Saccharomyces cerevisiae S288C: one gene and its partners. The gene in region 2 interacts genetically with the main gene of each other region. Each region holds a gene or a part of one and is shown on either strand. Other genes may lie near its edges.

Region 1 (2,509 bases), on a different chromosome or scaffold from region 2:
AGATGGTGTATTGACGGTTACGCTAAACAAAAACCGTGAAGTGGTACAAGTTTCCAAAGCGGGTGGTTTACCAATGGATGCGTTGACGCTAATGAAATGTTGTCACGAGGCTTACAGCATTATTGAGAAAATAACTGATCAAATACTGCAGCTTTTAAAGGAGGATTCAGAAAAGAGAAACAAGTATGCAGCCATGCTTACATCTGAAAATGCCCGCGAGATCTAATATTAACGAAAAAACTGAAATAAAAGCAACGCTTATACATATACATGCATGCATTAATATATGTATATATATCGGTACGTATAGATTGTAAAATTACACTTACTACTAAAGGCAGTATGAAAGACGCCCGCAGTTTTTTTCCTACTGTTTTCTTGACTGCGGTGTTCAAAAACATAAAAATCATTAAATTACTATAAAACAAACGCATACTGCGAAGAAAAAAGGCTCGGCTATAAATGCATATGAGAAAATATTATCTTTTGCCTCCCTGCTTAATTTCTGAAGGCATGTACTATCCAAAAGAAAAATCTTGAAAGAAAACAAATCCCATTATTCTTATTATTAAAACAAAAACTTCGTCATCGTCATCACATAAAAAAGACCTACCATTGTCAAACTGTACAACAGCAACACAATAATAATGACGATGATGAGTTCCTCGAGAAACCCTAGAACGGCGTTATAACACTGTTTGAGGGTATTACTTTTTCCACTACTCTCGTGGCGCGGAAGACCTGCTTCCAAATCTACTGTGTAATCAATACACTTAACCTCCTCTCTCTCCCCTTGTGCGTCAGAAAACTCTGCCTGTCTTATTTCCTTCTCCTGTTGTCCTATTTTCAGTACATCATCGATGCACCTCGAGGTATCTTCCATCTTGGTGTCAGGTTGAAAAACAATTGCTGTCGTTTTTTTTTAGTTCAACAAGTTTGGTATGGCAGTTGACAAAAATTCTATTTGGGCTGCAATGAATCAAAGTGTACAAACATCTGGTGAAATCGTTCAAGTTTTATACTGAATAGAAAACAAAAGATAAGGTTCTGCGCATCGCAAATAATAAATTACTAGCGCGCCATACAAGAGACGAGTCTATTTTTTTCCGCCAGACGACACAAAAAAGAACCCGTGCAAATATTATATCCCACCTCCCACGTGTCAGCGAAGCTCGGAACTGCGTAACATTATAGGGCAGAACATCCAAATGGAAAAAGTAATAACACTATTTGCGATGTTAGTGGCCATCCTGCGTCGTTCGGATAGGTTAGGACGGGCTGATGAATATACGGGTGTAATAAAAATGACACCACGTTATCAGGGTTTTCATGACAGTGCAAACTAATATATGTCATATTATTTTAAGTGGGCTCATTTATTTACATGTTTATTTTTTATTGTAATTTGCGTATGTATCATTACACGCTAATGCACATTTGCACGTTCTAATAATGAAGGTCGTCCGTCATAAGCAATTAGGAAATGAGAAATCTTGATTTTATCGCTAAAAAACGCTTTCTCTTGTGGCAGGAGCAGATCTCTTACATATGTAGTTATTTAGTCGCTTCTAAGAGCCAGATCAGGTGCGTGGATTCATATAATATCCCTTTTTCAATAACAACGTTATAAGGAAACGTTGGGTAAAAGAATATTAATTACTGAGTGGAACTTTTTCTCATTGTTCTGTGTATATACAATGTTGTATCTCAAAATGAGATATGTCAGTATGACAATACGTCATCCTAAACGTTCATAAAACACATATGAAACAACCTTATAACAAAACGAACAACATGAGATAAAACACGGCCTTCCCTAGCTGAACTACCCAAACGTATAAATGCTTGAACAATCAGTTTAGATCCGAGATTCCGCGCTTCCACCACTTAGTATGATTCATATTTTATATAATACATAAGATAAGTAACATTCCGTGAATTAATCTGATAAACCGTTTTGACAACTGGTTACTTCCCTAAGACTGTTTATATCAGGATTGTCAAGACACTCCGGTATTACTCGAGCCCGTAATACAACATACAAAAGTAACTCTTATTTACAAAAAAATCTCTTACTTTGTAGCATCTAGATCATCATTCGTGGGTTCTGAGCAGTAGGAAGAATATTTCTGGTAGAAATGATAAATTTCAAAGCACAGTTCGAAAGCAATCAGGTATATAATTATCCATTCCAAAAAAGTGCTGTTTCTCTCGTTTAAAAGAGAGATGAGGGCTCGACACTCGTCCGTAGAATAGTCCAGCTTGCTGTTCAGAATATTTATTCTTGGGCCTATGTCCAAATACCTCGAAACATTTTTAAAAATCTCTTCCAATTGAGGTTCACTCCAATAAAGATCAGGGGTCTCAATTAGTTCTGAATAGAGGTTCAACTTTCCTCTAATTAGAAAAAGGCGGCCTATTGACTTTAATGCATCACTTGACCTTAGATTTAACTTTGTTCCCTTAGAAATATTTTCTGTTATTGTTCTGGTCTTTGATATATGTTTTT
Region 2 (2,739 bases):
GCTTTTATCAGCTGCGACAATAGAGCCACGGAGCCAACAAAAAAAGGCTTTTTAGTTTGCCGCATGTAATGATTGGCGAATAATTTTTCAAGGTTATGATTGTTCTTGGGAACACAGATCACGGAATCCTTTTGCCAATAATACATTAGATGGAATATTTGGATACAACTTTCGAATATAACGCCTTTTGAGCTAGCAATATCGACTGTATGGGAATATAAAAGTTAATTTTAGGCAATTTAATTAATCGTGACTGGTCGGAGAAGGCGAGATTGTAGCTCCACCATGTGAGGATTATTGGCAAAGGTTTAGATCCGGTGGAGATTTATCTTCTTTTACCCCATCTTACTTGTGCACTCTCCCAAATTCCCATCTGATGAACTGTTAGTTGATTCCTTTAGATTATAAAACATATGATGTTTACTCTGTTTTTTGTCGGCGAAGTACGGAAAAGCATTTGTGACTCTAAAAAAACATGGCAAGGATAATTAATTAACAATACTTCTTGTGCTGTTTATAAAATGTATTTAGTGTAACATGCTGCTTCCTAGCATATGTATAATGTTAAGAATTTTCCAGTTTCTTTAAAAAGGCATTTACGTGTATTTCTTGACGGCTGCAGAAATCTCTTGGATGTCTTTTGGACTTGTTCTGCAACAACCACCAATGATACGGGCACCGCTGCTAATGTACTGTTTAACAACCGTATCCCAACTGTTCAGCTTATCGCTATTTGGCAACCATATCTTCTTTTCAGTATCATAAACTTCACCACTGTTTGGATAAGCAAGCAAGGCCATATTTGGCAGTGCTTGATGTAGAGACTCAAGAATGTCGGGTGATTGGTTGAAGCTGACGCAGTTGATTCCTAAGAACGAGAGGTTAGGATTTATTTTGTCGCCCAAGTCCATCATCTATTTACTACGAAACGATAAATTTCCCCGTTTTCTTTTACTTTTACTTCATTTAATATAATTCATATTTATTTCCCATGTACCAATTAATTACTCCTAAAAGAACAGAAATAGAAAAAAGTTGTATATAACAAGCCAAAAAAAAAAAAGAAAAAAGGAAACACAGCTTATTTCAAATTGCAATCTGCGTATTTCGTAAGTAACGAATGATCTCACAGCATTGCTTTTTTTTTTTTTTTTTTTATATATATGTACATTACCTATGTCACATATGACCATGATGAGTACAACACTAAAAACCAAGGCCTACTATTCAATTGTTCTCTATATGATTTCCATTCTAGCAAAATCGAGTGCTACCGATCTGCCGTTTTCTTTACCTTTCGAACCATTGAGCTGTTAGCCTTCTCTTCACAGAAACTGAAGGCCATTAGAAGCCTCCCCTTCAACAATTCCCTTGTCTTTTGTTTCAGCTATATAATGCGTTTATAGCTCTAATTGTGGTCGAATAGGAAGAATTTGCGTTAACACCCGTAACTAGCTTTCCATCGGTAATAGAGTAGTCATCCCAGGGATGAATTGGCGCCAAGTACTTGGCTCTATTCTTGTTTGCAACGCGTTCAACCGTTGTCAATTTTCTGCTCCTCAAGATGTCGTCAACTCCCAGGGCGATTTCACCCTCGAGTGGGAAACCTGTTATAGCTTTGCCTTCGATTAATGGTCTTGTTGTTTTGATATCTATTAATCCATCGAAAAGGAGCGGTCCATGACAGATGGCGGCGATCACACCCCCATTGGCATATATCTTGGATGCAATATCTTGCAGATTTTTAGCTTTGGGATAGTCAAATAGAGCACCATGTCCAGCAGATGCAAAGAATATTTTATAGTCGCTGGCGTTGACTTCATTTGCGGTCTTGATCCTCGCTAACGCCTTATTGAAGGCGGAATTTTTCGTTTCAAAGTTCATCTTATCTTCGCCACCAATAAAGCTCTTTGGCAAGTAATGTTCATCCCAGCCAAATCCACCAGTCTCAGAAACGAAGTCCACTTCGAAACCATGCTTTTCGAAAGTATCGAACGACCGCAAAATCTCAACTACAAAAACGCCTGTTTTCGCACCATCTTTATAGAAGGGACCGTGGTATGAAGTAAGAGATATTAGCGCTCTTTTTGGAGTCATTGCAAGGCCAGTTTTCTTTTTGAATGAAGGAGAAAAGTGTTCTAGAAATATGTTTTAGTTCTAAGTATCGTTGTCTGGAGCAAGCAAAGAAAAGCAGACCTGTATGTGCAACTTTCTTGTTTTCCATTAAAATCTCAAGAACCGGCCCCTTGACTGTGCTCATATATCAAGTATCGGTTTTAAAGTCCCCTAATTGTGATAATTGCAAGAATGACAGTCAAAAAGATATTTTTCTTTTCTTTCTTTTTACCTATCCTTCATGAAAATACCTATGCTGATACTGAATATCTTCATTTGCAGCTATGCAATATTTCAGATACTGCATTTTACCCAAGAGTTTCTTTACTGGTGGTTGGATTTTTTTTAAGACGAGAAGATTACCAGTCCTGGATGTTCATGAATGTGCCTATTGCGTCATCAGCGACTCCGCGCCAAGAAAAGAAATACTCGCATGCTCGGATTTATAGAATCGCATAATGGAAATAGCTTCCTTAAAGGATGGAGATAAGGAAAAAATGACAAGAACAAGGAAGTACTTGGGAGCTTTCTCCGACATGTTAAATATTTGAAACTCACGCAGCTCTCCTGGAAAGTTGCATCTGGAAAGGTAAGGTTGTTTTTTGTTCAGACATCAAAATCGGC
Region 3 (3,079 bases), on a different chromosome or scaffold from region 2:
TGTCTCGGGTGAAACTTTTTTCATTACCAATGATACCCCCACCTATTTTTGGGCCTTGGCCCGTACTGTGTGGAAGGCAGATGGTCATATTGATAAACATGTTATTGTTTTGAAAAGGCCAGTTGCAATTTGTGCAGGTTATCTTTCAGAATGGGTATCCAAGATGCTGGGTAAAGAGCCAGGTTTGACTCCATTCAGAGTCAAGATTGTGTGTGCATACCGTTATCACAACATTGCTAAGGCCAAAAAGTTGCTAGGCTACACACCAAGAGTTGGTATTGAAGAAGGAATTAACAAAACGTTGGCCTGGATGGACGAAGGTTTGTAATGGCAATCGTTAGGAGCTTTTTGATCCGATTATCGAAAGATAGTATGTTGAAATAGCATATCTGATACGCACCGTATATATTTATTCTGTCTTTATAGATGAATAATAAGAATTGAAACACCTAAAACATCTTGATGACTAGGTTAGTATATATATGTATACACTCATTTAATGACTACACTATGAAGCGTCGGGGTAATGCATGTAAATAAATAGAAATAAATCATTGAAACAACGAAATTCTCATGTATGCCTGCTAAGGATTCAATTTTTTGATATGTACGGTCATAATACTTTCTGCTTAACAAAAAACGAGCGTAAACTTTTCATTTGCCATACACAAATTATAATGAGAAGAGTAACTTGAGTTACCGTCCACCACATTGCGCGAGAATTCACAGACTCTGATATGTCTCTAAAGGATTCTTCACGTTCTCTCATCAGTTGTTGCTCTCTCCTGATATCCACGATCTTAGAATTCAATATACTGACTTTTCCGTGCAAACTTTCCAAGGTTTCTTTTCTTTGCATGTCCAACATTGCTTCAAAACCGACTTCAAATTCGATTTCTAACTTTGTTTTGGTTTTCCCTACCCAGTTATTTACCCTAGACTGTAAACAGATCTTATATTCTCCAGATTCCAAAGCTAGAAAGCTGAAGTCACCGGAAGGAGAGCCCTGTTGGTGGACTACCCTATGATTATTATCAAAGACTTCTTCCACATCTATGACAATGCCATAGTCATTATAACTGGGAAGCGCATAATCTGCCAACTTATCATCGTAAACTTCCAAATTGTAAGAACCTTTTAAAAGGGTGTCTTTGGATAGTTCCTTCAGGAAGCATTTTCTGTCTCCACCATAACCATAGAAGTAAAACGCGGAAACTCTGAATGGCAATAAAACGAATGCCAGGAAGATGTAGTGTGATAACATTGGCAAATCTAGATCCTTTCAGATTGAGGCGATAAGGAAGAAAGCGCCAACAATCTGTTCACAACCTCACCAATAAAGTCTATCAGTAGAGATTTTAACTATACACCCCATATCTTGTTGTGTCGATATTGGTTTCTTACCCGAAGAACGAGTTTCTAATTCCACGACGTTTTTTTATCCCACACAAAATGGTTTTTTGCACCGCTTCTAGCATTAATATTGCGATGAAGAAGAACCTCATGGATTTACAATACCTTAGACTTGGCCATCTCAAACTTGGTTCATCCTCTAACTCCGATTTTTGTCACCCTTCCTTCTAGTCTTCATCCTAAATTTAGTTGCATGTCCACAAACCTGAACCCATTCATGAATAATACGCCTTCCTCCTCCCCACTCAAGGGTTCTGAAAGTAAGAGGGTATCGAAAAGGCCAATATCTAGTTCTTCGTCCGCCTCACTATTATCATCTCCCTCCAGGCGATCGAGGCCGTCTACAGTATATGGTGATAGGTATATTCCTTCCCGAACAGATATAGATTTCAATTCCATCGTTTCCATCAGTAGTATGGCAAGCGTTCCAGCCCTTAATCCATCGAGTACGGAAGATCAAGTAGAATACCAAAAGGAAAGACAGGCACATGAAACTTATAATACTTTGCTGAAGAATGAGCTTTTTGGCGAGATGCTAAGCAAGGATACGGTAGGCTCAGAGAGCAGTATAGATCGCATTAAGAATACGAGACCATCTACTAGAGGCAATGTGCACGCAGAAAATACAACTAGACATGGTTATGAACTGGAACGAGTATCAACTCCACCTCCTGAAGCTGCTGGTTTAGAGGAATTTTCGCCACATTCCACGCCAGTCACTCCTCGACGTCTTTTTACATCACAGCAAGATGAAATCACGAGACCCTCAAGCAACTCAGTTAGGGGCGCCAGCCTGTTGACTTATCAACAACGTAAAGGTAGAAGACTATCTGCGGCCTCTTTGTTACAATCTCAATTTTTTGATTCCATGTCGCCAGTTAGGCCGGATTCCAAACAGCTCCTATTATCACCGGGGAAGCAATTTAGACAAATAGCTAAAGTTCCCTATAGAGTTTTAGATGCCCCATCATTAGCAGACGATTTTTACTACAGCTTGATAGATTGGTCAAGTACTGATGTTTTGGCAGTTGCTCTTGGAAAATCGATTTTTTTAACCGATAATAACACTGGCGACGTTGTTCACTTATGCGACACGGAAAACGAATACACAAGCTTAAGCTGGATTGGAGCAGGCTCTCATCTGGCAGTAGGTCAAGCAAATGGACTTGTAGAAATTTATGACGTAATGAAAAGAAAATGTATTAGGACGTTGTCGGGACATATTGACAGAGTAGCGTGTTTATCTTGGAATAATCATGTTTTGACGTCTGGGAGTAGAGATCATCGAATACTGCATAGGGATGTTAGGATGCCAGATCCCTTTTTTGAAACTATAGAATCGCACACTCAGGAAGTCTGTGGCCTAAAGTGGAATGTAGCGGACAACAAACTTGCCTCAGGTGGTAACGATAACGTCGTCCATGTTTACGAAGGAACGTCGAAATCTCCAATCTTGACGTTTGACGAACATAAGGCTGCTGTTAAGGCAATGGCCTGGTCTCCTCATAAACGAGGTGTGCTAGCTACCGGTGGTGGTACAGCAGATAGAAGACTAAAAATCTGGAACGTTAATACGTCAATAAAGATGAGTGATATAGATAGCGGCTCTCAAATATGTAATATGGTATGGTCAAAGAATACTAACGAGCTTGTGACATCACATGGT
Region 4 (4,187 bases), on a different chromosome or scaffold from region 2:
GACCAATGAAATCTGAGGGTATGACTAATAAGCCCCCGCCCGAGTTTCGGCCAAGGGTACGGACAACGCCGAGAACCGGCGATGAGAAGAACAATAGCTTTTATCTATTTCTTATTAGAGAGGGATTATTAATCATTAATTAGTGTTTTATTTAGTAACTATGGGCTATACATAACAACCACATAAGAGGAGTCTTGGAGGAAAAAAATGGGAAAAAAAAAAATAGTAGAAAAAAAAGGGGATATCACTACTCTCTAAGTACTCTTGTGCTTGTGCATAGAAAAAGATTTCCTTTGTTCTGTAGTTGTGTGTCTTTTTTGATTGTTTTTTTTTTTTTTTTTAATTTTTTTTTGTAATTTCTTTATATGTCAGCTTTACGCTGCACAGTGTCTATAATGCTATGTCGTTATCGAGCCCTTTGAGCGTGGGGCAGGGTGAGTAATAACAATGAAATAAAAAAATGCAAATATAGAAAGAGCATGATTTCTGCTTTTCTTTTTCTTAAGCGGCGTAAGCATACTTGGATTTCTTTCTGATAGATTCACCATATTTTAAGAATAGTAAAGGCACGGGAATCATCGCAGCGGCAAATAGACCTAATAACAAACCAGCCCAACCGATACCCATGCCACGGAACATATATCCTGCAAACAATGGGAAGCATGCACCAAATGCAGACCTCATGAAAGTGTTTGCTGCGACGGCAGAAGCTGCCAACAATAGATACGATTCAATGATATAGTTTAAACATGGCAAGAAAATACCCATTAAACCGAACCCGATGAAGGCCCCTCCTACTGTGGGGACCATCCAATGAATCTTGTGAGGATAGTAGCCCGTCCAACAGAACCATAAGATACCAATAGGGAAAACGGTACCTGCAATGACCATTGCGTACAATCTGGCCTCGGGCACTAATTTCCCCTTGGCTCTACATCTTTTCAAATAATCGTTGTCCATATACCAAATGAAAGCAGCACACACCATCATACCGATAATCAAGGCGATGTATGGCAACTCACCGTTTTCAGTAAACCCATAACCCTCCACAAAGACAAGTGGGTAGGCTTCCAGTAACAAATACAAGATACCGTAGACAAAAGAGTTGTAAATAGTCACGAATAGTAGCAATGGTTCCACGAAAAGCATAATGATAGGCCTCGTCACAGTTTTTTGGACAATGTCTTTGATGGATAGCTCCACGTCTTCATGAGCAGCATGAATACCCCAGTTATTACTTTGCTTTCTCATCTGTTTGGCCTTGTTAACCAAAATGGTAGGGTGATGTGTTTCTTCAAAGAACAATACGATGGCAACGAAAACTGCGGAAGCGAAACAACCGACAACATATTCTAACCATCTCCAGGTAGTTCTTTGTGCGATATAAGAACCCATGACAGGCGATAAAATGGGGCCTACAAAAACACCTAGAGAAAATAGCGCAATGGCTTTACCTCTAACATTAGTATCAAACATGTCGGCAAACGCGGCGGGGACGACGGCCATGGGTGCTGCCCCGATAAAACCACCAAAGAATCTACATATGAAAATAGTTTGCAGGTTCTCAGCAGTAGCGACAGCAAATTGGAAAAGGGCAAATCCAAACGCAGATAAAACCAGAACACCCTTTCTACCGTACAATTCAGAAAGAGGAGCATAGATAACCGGTGAGGCCGCAAACCCAAGAACAAAAAGCGTGATACCCAAAATGGCGACAACTTCGATGACGTGGTATATCTCGCAGATTTGCGGCACTGCAGAGGCAAAAATGGAAGAACACATAGCAATGGCAATAGAATCCAGACATAAGACCAGACATAGCAGCACTTTCTTCTTCATGGGCCAGTTAAATGGATGTAGTGGGTCGTTAGGACCATCAAAAGTAACCTCGTACAGGTCTCTGCTCGGCAACGATGGAGGGTAAGGTCTGTCACCACCCATGGGCGCACAATTGGTATAATCAACCTCTACACGGTCAGGCTCGTTAACAGACCCAGTAAGGATTTTAGTTAATCTTCTCGTGATATTAACCTCTGATTCTGCAGCAGAATTCATAGTCGTCGTTCTTTGAATCGCTAAATCTGCACCACCATTGCCCTCCGTAGCAGTTGTGTATTTGGCACCTTCACCGGTGAAATCTACAGGTTCGACGCCTGTGGTTCCCGTGGTGCCCGTCGAATGCATATCGCTGGATGAGCTTCTTGACGAGTCTGATGGCAGCAGATGATTTTCCTTATTAGAAATGGGAGAATGATCCGACATTGTCTCTGTCTAGTTTTCTCTTGCTTCTTTGACTAAAAAAAAAAGTGACTGATAAAAGATCCAGAAATAAAGAGTTCCCGATATTTAGTATATGATCTCGTTGCAAGGGTGCGAAGAACCAATTTCAGATTATTGGATTTTTCTCTTCTATAGACCAAGATTATTTTTGAAAACTGGTGACTCAAGGCATACGAGCAGAAAGAAACATCAAGATCAAATGAGGTACCCTTTATATATAGAACACATTACTTGATAGTATATTCTGCACACATAAAAAAAAAAAAGAAAATGACAATGTTCAACGTTAAATTTTTCTTCCTTTTTCTTTAGGGAATTCCTACGATCGTTTCCTTTTAAAGTAAAACTCCCGATACGAAGATTTCTGTGTACCGACGGACGGAAATCTCGAATGGCTCTACTGTGAGACGGCTTCATAGCGACATAGACGGAAGGGTTTGCTTCCTTCCTTCCTTCCGCGTCCGCATCCGTTTCCGCATCCGCCTTCCGTATCCGCTTTTCGCTCGGTGCTTCTCTTTCCACGGAAAATCCTGCTCCTGCTCCATGGAACCAAAGCAACGGGGTCTGGCGGAACCTATAATCCGTTGTGACCGGGCCCGCATAAGGAATTCTCGGCTCTTAAAATAATCTATCCTGCGCAGAAAATACTGGCTGGCAAAAAAGAAATACTAAATCAGACTCCTTGTCTTTACGTTGGCTATGTAGTCCAAGCTTGGCAGTACTACTGGTGCCTGGTTATAAGATTGATTTTTGTGACTCTTGCGGAAAGGTTCGCCGAGCAGGGACCCTGGATGAAAAAATTTCTTGATGAGGCATCAGTATAAATCACTAGGGGGCTGTACATGCATGGTCGTTTAAAATCCGACTACGCACATTAACTCTTTTTGGCACTAAAAGCGCTCGGGGTTAAGTGTACCTACCCCTCTCCGGCCGTAAAAAAATGAAGGTAATGTTTTCAATTTTCACCTTTTAGTCATTATTGTTGTTATTGTTATCACTCAAATTAAATAAAAAGAAAGAAACTACTTAGAATAAATACTAACATTAATTGTATTGCGCCCCGCTCGCCTCGAAGTCATAGTGGGCTTGTTTCTCTTTTCAGCCACTTGTATGAAATACTCTGAGGCTGCAGAAAATGCACTATTGTCCTCCATACCCTTGCGTGGTACTCGTTAATCTGTGTTTTTTCTTCTTCGTTTAGTAACTTAGTATTGATCAACTTCCTGCAATAGGGAACCACAGTCATGTTTTCGAATTTCAAGAAGTTACCCTTCTCAGTGGCCTTCTTGATTAACATGTCGCTTTCAATCCTGATACCATACTCACCATCCTTATAATAACCTGGTTCGTTACTTATTATGTTACCCGCTCTTAAGGGGAAATTCATCAGATGTGGCCTAAAGCCGACACCCATGGGTCCTTCGTGAACGTTTAAAAATGATCCGATACCATGGCCTGTGCCATGTTTGTAATCTAACCCGCGGGACCATAAAAACTGCCTAGCGATGGCGTCGATATTAAACCCGGGAGTGTTTTCGGGAAAAATCAACCTCTCTAGGGCTAAGCCACCTTTAAGTACCAGTGTGTAATTATCCATTTCTTCTTTGGTTGGCTTTGTTAAGTGAATTGTTCTTGTTATATCAGTTGTACCCTCCAAGAATTGCGAACCGGAGTCGCAAAGATATATCTTGGTAGGATCAATCATCGAAGAGTTCTCTACGGGCGGCGAATAATGTATGATGGCGGCGTTACTACCTGTGGAGGATATTGTTTCGAAGGAATTGCCCATGAAGTTCCTTTGGGTTTTCCTAATCTCGGTCAATTTTTCTGCGGCACGATATTCATCTATCAGTGCCTCGCGCCCCACTAATTGCTGCTCCAGCCATGCAAAATACTGCACTAAACAT

Evidence for each region.
Region 1: mutations in YMR321C (region 2) and PHM6 together harm fitness more than expected from each alone (negative genetic interaction), as found in Saccharomyces cerevisiae (one large-scale study listed by BioGRID).
Region 3: mutations in YMR321C (region 2) and ERP6 together harm fitness more than expected from each alone (negative genetic interaction), as found in Saccharomyces cerevisiae (one large-scale study listed by BioGRID).
Region 4: mutations in YMR321C (region 2) and TPO1 together harm fitness more than expected from each alone (negative genetic interaction), as found in Saccharomyces cerevisiae (one large-scale study listed by BioGRID).

Annotation. Positions count from the first base shown.
Region 1 is NC_001136.10:1,021,439-1,023,947, forward strand, and holds PHM6 (Phm6p), read right to left. Parts: upstream 884-2,509; coding exon 569-883; downstream 1-568. Other genes in the region: exosome non-catalytic core subunit RRP45, read left to right, coding at 1-226; MRX10 (Mrx10p), read right to left, coding at 2,073-2,509.
Region 2 is NC_001145.3:916,983-919,721, forward strand, and holds YMR321C (uncharacterized protein), read right to left. Parts: upstream 915-2,739; coding exon 597-914; downstream 1-596. Other genes in the region: YMR320W (uncharacterized protein), read left to right, coding at 1-69; SNO4 (glutathione-independent methylglyoxalase family protein), read right to left, coding at 1,384-2,097.
Region 3 is NC_001139.9:492,702-495,780, reverse strand, and holds ERP6 (Erp6p), read right to left. Parts: upstream 1,265-3,079; coding exon 614-1,264; downstream 1-613. Other genes in the region: ERG26 (sterol-4-alpha-carboxylate 3-dehydrogenase (decarboxylating)), read left to right, coding at 1-328; CDH1 (Cdh1p), read left to right, coding at 1,607-3,079.
Region 4 is NC_001144.5:82,879-87,065, reverse strand, and holds TPO1 (polyamine transporter TPO1), read right to left. Parts: upstream 2,263-4,187; coding exon 502-2,262; downstream 1-501. Other genes in the region: FRA1 (aminopeptidase P), read right to left, coding at 3,356-4,187.